Oryctolagus cuniculus: one gene and its partner. The protein of the gene in region 2 interacts with the protein of the main gene of each other region in a pairwise test. Links are inferred from orthologs where the notes say so. Each region holds a gene or a part of one and is shown on either strand. Other genes may lie near its edges.

Evidence for each region.
Region 1: the proteins of NEFL (region 2) and SKIL interact in binary tests that used the Homo sapiens proteins (3 or more experiments, as listed by UniProt). The link is inferred for Oryctolagus cuniculus from reciprocal best matches to the Homo sapiens genes NEFL and SKIL.

What each region holds. Positions count from the first base shown.
Region 1 is NC_091435.1:109,896,533-109,900,714, forward strand, and holds part of SKIL (ski-like protein), read right to left. Parts: intron 3,244-4,182; coding exon 3,002-3,243; intron 2,708-3,001; coding exon 2,483-2,707; intron 1,806-2,482; coding exon 1,647-1,805; 3' UTR 1-1,646. UniProt on the Homo sapiens protein: May have regulatory role in cell division or differentiation in response to extracellular signals.
Region 2 is NC_091433.1:49,228,033-49,232,656, forward strand, and holds the start of NEFL (neurofilament light polypeptide), read left to right. Parts: upstream 1-1,478; 5' UTR 1,479-1,614; coding exon 1,615-2,661; intron 2,662-3,610; coding exon 3,611-3,735; intron 3,736-4,178; coding exon 4,179-4,498; intron 4,499-4,624. UniProt on the Homo sapiens protein: Neurofilaments usually contain three intermediate filament proteins: NEFL, NEFM, and NEFH which are involved in the maintenance of neuronal caliber.

The DNA of each region.
Region 1 (4,182 bases), on a different chromosome or scaffold from region 2:
CATTTGTTCCATCTTGAGATTCCAAGAATCAATAAATTAAATTACAGGGTAAATATAGTAAAAATTGAAATGAAAAGTAGAAAATACACATTTAGATCATACTCTGTTTAGTAAAGTTCCCTTTTAGGAACTATAGAAATTCTTTTGGGATATATGAGTACCATTAAGAACAATCTGAAAATAACTGGTTAATGATAAGCTATGTGATTTTTTTTTTTTTTTAAGTTCTACCAACATTAGAGTACCTGCCTTCTACAATGGACATAGCACACAACTTTCATTCTAGTTCACTTGTAATAATTTCATACAGAACCTTGTCAGAAAGCATGAAAAACAAAATTCATGGGGTTAATAATGTCAACTACTGGTGGTTTCAGGAAACTTTCCTTTAAAAAACTGCATACTAACAATTTTTTTTCTATTATCTTTTAAGCCAAGAATTAACAGGAAATTTGCTTTTAAAGAGTGACAGACTTTTCTGTGCAAAAAAAAAAAAGTACAGAAGATGTTGCCTCTTCCCAAACTATGGAATTCTTTTGTAAACTAAAAATTATCTAAAAATTTTAGTAGCAGATAATTAAACTCCTATACAAAGCTATCATACACTATCAGTTGACTGTAAATTCCTGATTTTGATATTAAGTAGTAATTGAAAATGGTCCATTCGTGCAAATTTTTGGTAAGACTTAACATTTAACATACAAAAGTCCAAAATAACCTTCAATATGTTTAATATTTTACAATTTAAAGGAAAACAAATCCATTATATAAATTTCATTCCAACCCATAGCTACATACAAAACCTGTACAGAAGGACTGTGGATTCTATAGAAACTGATGTACATCAATGACACCAATTCTTCTCAACATTATTATTTTCACACCACTATTAACAACATAAACAAAAGTTCAGAAATCATTATTTTTCTGAAGATACAGCGTAAAAAATTTCTAAATATAACCACATTAAACCTGAAAAACAAATTACAACTGCTTCTTACATTTAGCAGCAATGCGTAACAAAACATCTTACTCTTTCCAATGACACCCATGGGTTATGCTATTCCTTCATTAATGAAATTCCTCTTAGGAGACATTTAAAAGAGAACTGAGGATTGAAGAAATTCATTCCACAATCTGAACAAAGTAAAAGCTAATGTCTGTGTATAATAATGAGTATATATATCACTTATAAAGGAGATTGTGTTAATAAGAAAAATGCAGATTCAACTCCTTGAATAGTTCTATAGTATATATTTGAAATATAATGCCACCATTATATCTAAAATTGAGTCTGAAATATGGATAACAAAATTGACCACAGCTATTTCCCATCACATAATGCAGCTTTTAAAAAGTATACAACTGTTAAATTCACATTAGAAATATAGGCAGGTTATCTACTACTTGAAATCCTATATTGTTACTAAGCTGAAAAAAAAATACAAAGAAACCTACATTTTCATTCATTTGGAAAATGTAAAAATTTATGTACTAATATATAATCTCTTCACTTTCTTTGATCTACAAATGGGTAGAATGCCTAGCTATTGTCATGCGGATAAGTTGTTCAGAATTCTATTACCAAAGCAAGCAATAAACAAAAAAACCCTGTCAGTATACACAGATGATCTCTTTAACAGTTCCTATTCTTTAGCAGCCTTGGATGACTTCAAAATTTGCAGCTTTAACTCTTTTATCATCATCTCTAACTTCTGTCTTGCCTCCCGCTCCTGTCTGAGTTCATCTTGGAGTTCTTGCCTATCAGCTTCAGCGTGGTCCAGTCTCTGTCTCAGTTCTGCTAGCTGTGTGATTTAAAAGGCTGTGTCAATATTCATTTAGTTTTGTTTTTCCATTTAATCTTATACCACAGCAAAGACCTACTTTCACATTATGTTTTACAAAACAAACTATTTCATGCATACCACAGTCTTTTAAGTATCTAATACTATTACCTTGACATTCAACATGACATTAAATTGAAGGTAAAGCAAAGGATCAAGAGGAATAAACACCTAAAACACCTACAGCACTTTAATTATTTTCTGTGCATTACTAGATCCTTGTTACAACCTGTTCAAGCTAATATTTGTACATCTTCCCTCAAATGTGAGCAACTATTAACATAAAGGATTTACTTATTTATTTTTGCTTCAGTGCTTTTGAATAGAGTAGGCAACAGTTATTTGTTAATATGTTGATTTGAAAGCATATATTATTAAAATAATATTTGATCATCAGAGAGCTAGATTTACAATTTAAGTAAATAAATTATAGAAATCCAATAAACTTTAAAGTAATAAACCAATAAAAGTCAAAAAATCATCATAGACAATCTAGCATAAAATTGTGTTTAACAGAATTATCTACATTGAAATCTAGCCTAGTGAATGAGCTTGACAAAAAGTAATTTCTTTAACAGAGCAGTAACACTTTCCATTCATGTTGAAAGGGCACATTATACAAACTGAGTAATTCTTACCTGTGCTGCATATTCAGCCTCTTTGTCTTTTTCCAAATTTGAGTCACATGTACATTTTTGCTTCATTACCTGCTCTAATTTTTTCTCTAAGTCCTTCTGTTCAACATAAAATTCTTCCATTCTTTGAGCATGTTCAGTCTGCAAAGATTCAAGTTCTTTCTGCAGATTCTGTTGTTCTTCAGTGAGTTCCCTCATAGCTTTTGAACTACTCAACATTTCCACTTCCTGTAAGTACAGAATCACAATACAATTTTATTTCCATCAGGTTAAAAATTTCAAAAAAAAAAAAACAAAAAAACTTTTAGTTCAGGAAAAAATAAGTCAGAAAATATATAAAATTCGTATTAGTTCTATATATCAACAGTTATATTGAAAAATATCTTCTCTATAAATGTATTAAAATTGCCTATCAGTGTGAAACTGAACAATCTAACATATATTTGCAACATATCTTGACTCCTCTGAGAATGTGCAAAAGTATCTTTTCATAATGAATTATCATTTAAATAACAACTTTACCATCTGAAGTTGTTGCTTCTTTTGCAAAATTGAGTTCAGTTTTTCCTGTTGTTTTACATAAGTCCTCATTACTTCCTCCATGATTTTTCCTTTATCATCTTCACAAACGACATCTTTGACAAGGAGTGGAGATGATTCTGCAGTATCATGGCCAATTCCCAACTTGTTTGTGTCTCTGACTAAGTGGCAAGTGGTAGAGTCAGATTTCTTTTTACTCACAGAACTATGTAAGATTGATGGATCTTTGAGAGGGAAAAAAAAATCAAGTAACAAAGAATAAATATCACTGTGTTAAAAAGTCACTGGAAGAATCCAGGAATGCTATTAACAAGACAATTCCATTCAAAAATTAAATCAACAAGAATAAAATACTTAGGAATAAGTTTAACAAAAGTAGTTAAACATGTACAATAGCAACAACAAAACATCAAAGAAAGATGTGAATACATAAAAAGACAGTCCATGTTAACAGATTGGAAGACTAAGTATTTTTTTTCTATTTGACAGGTAGAGTTATAGACAGTGAGAAGGAGAGACAGAGAGAAAGGTCTTCCTTACGTTGGTTCACTCCCCAAATGGCCGCTACGGCCAGCACTACGCCAATCTGAAACCAGGAGCCAGGTGCTTCCTCCTGGTCTCCCATGCGGGTGCAGGGGCCCAAGCACTTGGGCCATCCTCCACTGCACTCCCGGGCCACAGCAGAGAGCTGGACTGGAAGAGGAACAACTGGGACTAGAACCCGGCACCCATATGGGATGCCAGTGCCACAGGAGGAGGATTAACCAAGTAAGCCACAGTGCCGGCCCCCAGAAGACTAAGTATTTTTAAGATAATAATATTCCCCAAATTGATCCATATGTTCAGTGCAATCTCCATTAAAATCCCAGCTGGTTTTCTGGCAGAAATTGATAAGCTGATTCTAAAATTCATATGGAAATACAAAGACTCCAAAATAGACAAAAAATCCTGAAAAAGAATTAATAATTTCCAATGTTAAAGCTTGCTACAGATATCAAGTCCATTGTGTAGTACTCACATAAGGAAAGATACATAGATCAGTGAGAAAGAATTCAGAGTCCAGAACCAAGTAAACCCACAATTGTTTTTTTGTTTTCCCCTCCCAGAGAAACCTTTTATTTAATGGATGTAAATTTCCTAAGTACAACTTTAGGAATATAGTG
Region 2 (4,624 bases):
CTCCATGCTGTTCTCCGGAGAGGTGTGCAGTGCCTCTGGAAGCAACTGTGGTACCACTCAGGGAAAGCATATCACAGGCAAAGAGATTCTGATTTCTCCATTTGGAAAGTTTGCTTCTGTAAAAAAAAAAAAAATCAAGTTGATGTCAAATGCTGTCATGCAAATAAAACAAAAGCTAAGAGCATGCTTAGAAAAACCTTAGGGATTTTATGTAAATCTCTGCAATTCTCCCCATGAACCCGTAGAACTCCAAACAACCCCTGTGGAAAGGCGTATCCACGTGCTGTAAGGCGTGCACATTGTTTCAGGTATCCGGGTGCTTTCCATAAGAAACCCATAGATTTCTGACTGCCTTTCTAATCTACCTAACATAGCGACCCGACGGAGGAATCACGCGGCTGCTTTGGCTGCAAGCTCCAGGAGTTCTCTCCGGAGACCACACCCGACGCCTGAGGCTGGCCGCCGCAGCTTCCCTATGAAAATCAGCCACCTGCATGGCCTTTCGAAATCATCAGGTTGGGTGTTACACAGGTGTACAAAGCGGGCAAGGGGGCTTTTAATAGGAGGGAGTCGGTAGTGTCAAGTCCACGAAGCAGGGATTTAGCTCGGGGAAGTTCCAGCCAGGCAGCCTGAAGTCAGTTGCCCGCCGTAGAGCGAGCCGCCGCCTAGCAAGCGGGTCTTCTCCTTGGTAGCGTCACTCTTCCTCTGCTTCCCTCCGTCTACCCGCGTCGTCAACACACCGAAAGCCTCCAAGGCTTTCTTCCCCACAAAGAAGAAAATTTAGGAAGCCAGAGGCAGTGCCCTACAGCTTTAGAAATGATAAAAGGTAACACCTGCAATGCACGCCGCAATCGCGCACGTGTGTAGGTAGGGGGGCAGAACCCTGTGGGCTGAGAAGCAGCCCACCAACTCCGGGGGTCAGGGGGCCCAGGAGAAAGGTAGATTAATTAAAGAAAGTGCCAGAAAAACTGCAAAGAAACGCGAAACTTTCCTCGCTAAATGCCGCATACGTGCAACCACAGCCTATTCTCCTCTCAAACCACTAGCGACACTGCACCGTCGCCATAAACACTAAGTGGGGAAGAGGGGTGATCAAAGAGGTCCCTGGTGGGAAGCGGTGGGCTGCGGGCCAGGGTCTCCGAGAGGTACCGGGTTATGGAAAACTAAGTTGTCAGTGGGCGGCGAGAACCAATGGCTGGGGATACTTGAGCATCTGAGTGATACGTGGGTCCCGGGGTAAGCAGGCTGCGGCTGGCTGGGTGGGAAAGGACAGGACACAGGTGCGGGGATATAGGGTCTCAGAGAACAGAAAGGGCCTCAGAGAAAAGTGCAAAGGAGAAGAGCCGCAGCTCAGCGGCCCCGCGCCGCCGCCCCCGCCCTCCGTTTTGCGCAGAATCCTCCCCTTGGCTGCAGCAGCGCGCTGCCCCCACTGGCCGGCGCGCCGGGATCGATCGCAGGCTGCGTCAGAAGCCTCGCGGCGTATAAATAGGGGTGGCAGGACGGCGCCGAGCCGCACACAGCCATCCATCCTCTCCTTTCCCTCTCTCCCCCGTCCTTCTTTCTCTCTCCAGGCCCCATCTCCGGCCGCGGGCCAGAGGGGCACCGGCCGCCACCATGAGTTCGTTCAGCTACGAGCCGTACTACTCGACCTCCTACAAGCGGCGCTACGTGGAGACGCCCCGGGTGCACATCTCCAGCGTGCGCAGCGGCTACAGCACCGCGCGCTCCGCTTACTCCAGCTACTCGGCACCGGTCTCCTCCTCGCTGTCCGTGCGCCGCAGCTACTCCTCCAGCTCCGGCTCCTTGATGCCCAGCCTGGAAAACCTCGACCTGAGCCAGGTAGCCGCCATCAGCAACGACCTCAAGTCGATCCGCACGCAGGAGAAGGCGCAGCTGCAGGACCTGAACGACCGCTTCGCTAGCTTCATCGAGCGCGTGCACGAGCTGGAGCAGCAGAACAAGGTCCTGGAAGCCGAGCTGCTGGTGCTGCGCCAGAAGCACTCGGAGCCGTCCCGCTTCCGGGCGCTGTACGAGCAGGAGATCCGCGACCTGCGCCTGGCTGCCGAAGACGCCACCAACGAGAAGCAGGCGCTCCAGGGCGAGCGCGAAGGGCTGGAGGAGACCCTTCGCAACCTGCAGGCGCGCTATGAGGAAGAGGTGCTGAGCCGGGAGGACGCCGAAGGCAGGCTGATGGAGGCGCGCAAAGGCGCTGACGAGGCGGCACTCGCTCGCGCTGAGCTGGAGAAGCGCATCGACAGCCTGATGGACGAAATCGCCTTTCTGAAGAAAGTGCACGAAGAGGAGATCGCCGAGCTGCAGGCGCAGATCCAGTACGCTCAGATCTCCGTGGAGATGGACGTGTCCTCCAAGCCCGACCTCTCCGCCGCCCTCAAGGACATCCGTGCACAGTACGAGAAGCTGGCCGCCAAGAACATGCAGAACGCCGAAGAGTGGTTCAAGAGCCGCTTCACCGTGCTGACCGAGAGCGCCGCCAAGAACACCGACGCCGTGCGCGCAGCCAAGGACGAGGTGTCCGAGAGCCGCCGCCTGCTCAAGGCCAAGACCCTGGAGATCGAAGCATGCCGGGGCATGAACGAAGCGCTGGAGAAGCAGCTGCAGGAGCTGGAAGACAAGCAGAACGCCGACATCAGTGCTATGCAGGTGCGGCCTGGTGCGAAACACGGCGGGGGCGGGGACCTGCAGAATGCGGGGGTCGGGGCAGGGGGAGAGTTGAAGCTGCGCCCAAAAAGTGGAGACCAGGGCTGGTAGGGGTCGCACTGTGCTCCCAGGGGACGGTGTGGGAGGGGCGGGGCCCTTGGGTGGGGCGGGGCCGCTACTGCAGTCTGGGTGTGTGAGTGGTGCAGTGGAGTCTGAGTTCCGCATTGAAGCTGCCCAGCGTGGGAGGGGTCAGGCGGGGGCGGGGGAGAGGTGGGAGTAGGGCGTTGCCCTGGCCTGCAGGGATGTCGGGCCATCTACCTACCTGCATTCACCTGAAGTTACTTTGCAACACCAGTGGGATCACCTGGTTAATAACCATAGCGAGTAAGTCTTAATTAGTCCCGAAAGGTTACTGTGGCCAGTATATTTTATGACTGGTTAAGTACCAGCTACTCCTCCCCTTAGCAGGTGGACAGGAACCCAGACAGATTTGTCTTGGGTAACTAGCTGGGGAGCAGAAATATAGGAAATATTTTAGAGAAAGTATAAGCAATTTAGCTACTTCCTTCTCTTATGAAGAAATGGATGAATTTTCTGGATTGTGACCTGGCTAAAGTGGAGTTAACCCATAAATGAGAATCCAGCCTTTTCTGTCAAGTTAGTTTCCATGCAGGCATATTCTGATGCTCCTTAGATTGTACTAGTTGAGGATATTGTCTTAAAGGAATGTTCTTTCTTTAGTTTTTTTTTTTTCTTCTCATGCTTCATGAAGCTGGATATTTTAGGCGAGAAATATTTTCAAAAAAGAGTGAGCAGCTGTTTTAGGGGAGATTTTTATTAAAGGTGTGCCCCTCGACTCTAACTGAAACTGAGTGTTTGTAACTGAGCTACAGTAAAATGATAGCAGTAGGAATTGATGCTTAGATTTTCTTCTTTTTCTGTCTTCCAACAGGACACGATCAACAAACTAGAAAATGAATTGAGAACCACAAAGAGTGAAATGGCACGATACCTAAAAGAATACCAAGACCTCCTCAATGTGAAGATGGCTTTGGATATTGAGATTGCAGCTTACAGGTAACAACAGAAGGGCAAAGGTAGTAGCCAGAAAGCCTTGGAAGAAAATCAGATGCCATTTAGATCATGTTGAACCAGAAGCCTTCTGCAATAGCCCTCTGAAATGAGATATTATTATGATTAGTTTGCTTCTTCGAAGGAGCAAGTGTTTAGACAAATATCAAAGAACTTTACCCTGTAATATTAAGTCCTGTTTTTAGCTTCTCATTACACTTAAAATCTAATAGAACTATTTAACGTACTTTATTCTGTATCCCCCCACCCCCAGTCTCATTCATAAAATTCCTAGCCATTGGATATTGGTAATTCCCAGCCCTCTCTTGTTTGCATTTGCCTGTAGGATGGCATTGGGAGAACAGATGAGAGGTGGGCTTAGAGCAAGTCATTAAATACACTTCCTAGGTTGTTTTAATTTTAACCCTACCCTCTGTTGGTCTCCCCAGAAAACTCTTGGAAGGTGAGGAGACCCGACTGAGTTTCACCAGTGTGGGCAGCATAACAAGTGGCTACTCCCAGAGCTCCCAGGTCTTCGGCCGGTCTGCCTATGGCGGTTTACAGACCAGCTCCTACTTGATGTCCGCCCGCTCCTTCCCGACCTACTACACCAGCCACGTGCAGGAAGAGCAGATCGAGGTGGAGGAGACCATTGAGGCTGCTAAGGCCGAGGAGGCCAAGGACGAGCCTCCCTCTGAAGGGGAAGCTGAGGAGGAGGAGGAGAAGAAGGAAGAGGGTGAGGAAGAGGAGGGAGCCGAGGAAGAAGAAGGTATGATGAAAAACAAGCCCATGCACCTTCACGTGCAGACTGGGCATGGCTGTTTCTTAGGAGAGGTACAAGGTAAATGAAGTCCTGCTTGTGCTTAGGGGTGCTTTATTCAAACATGATCTCAGA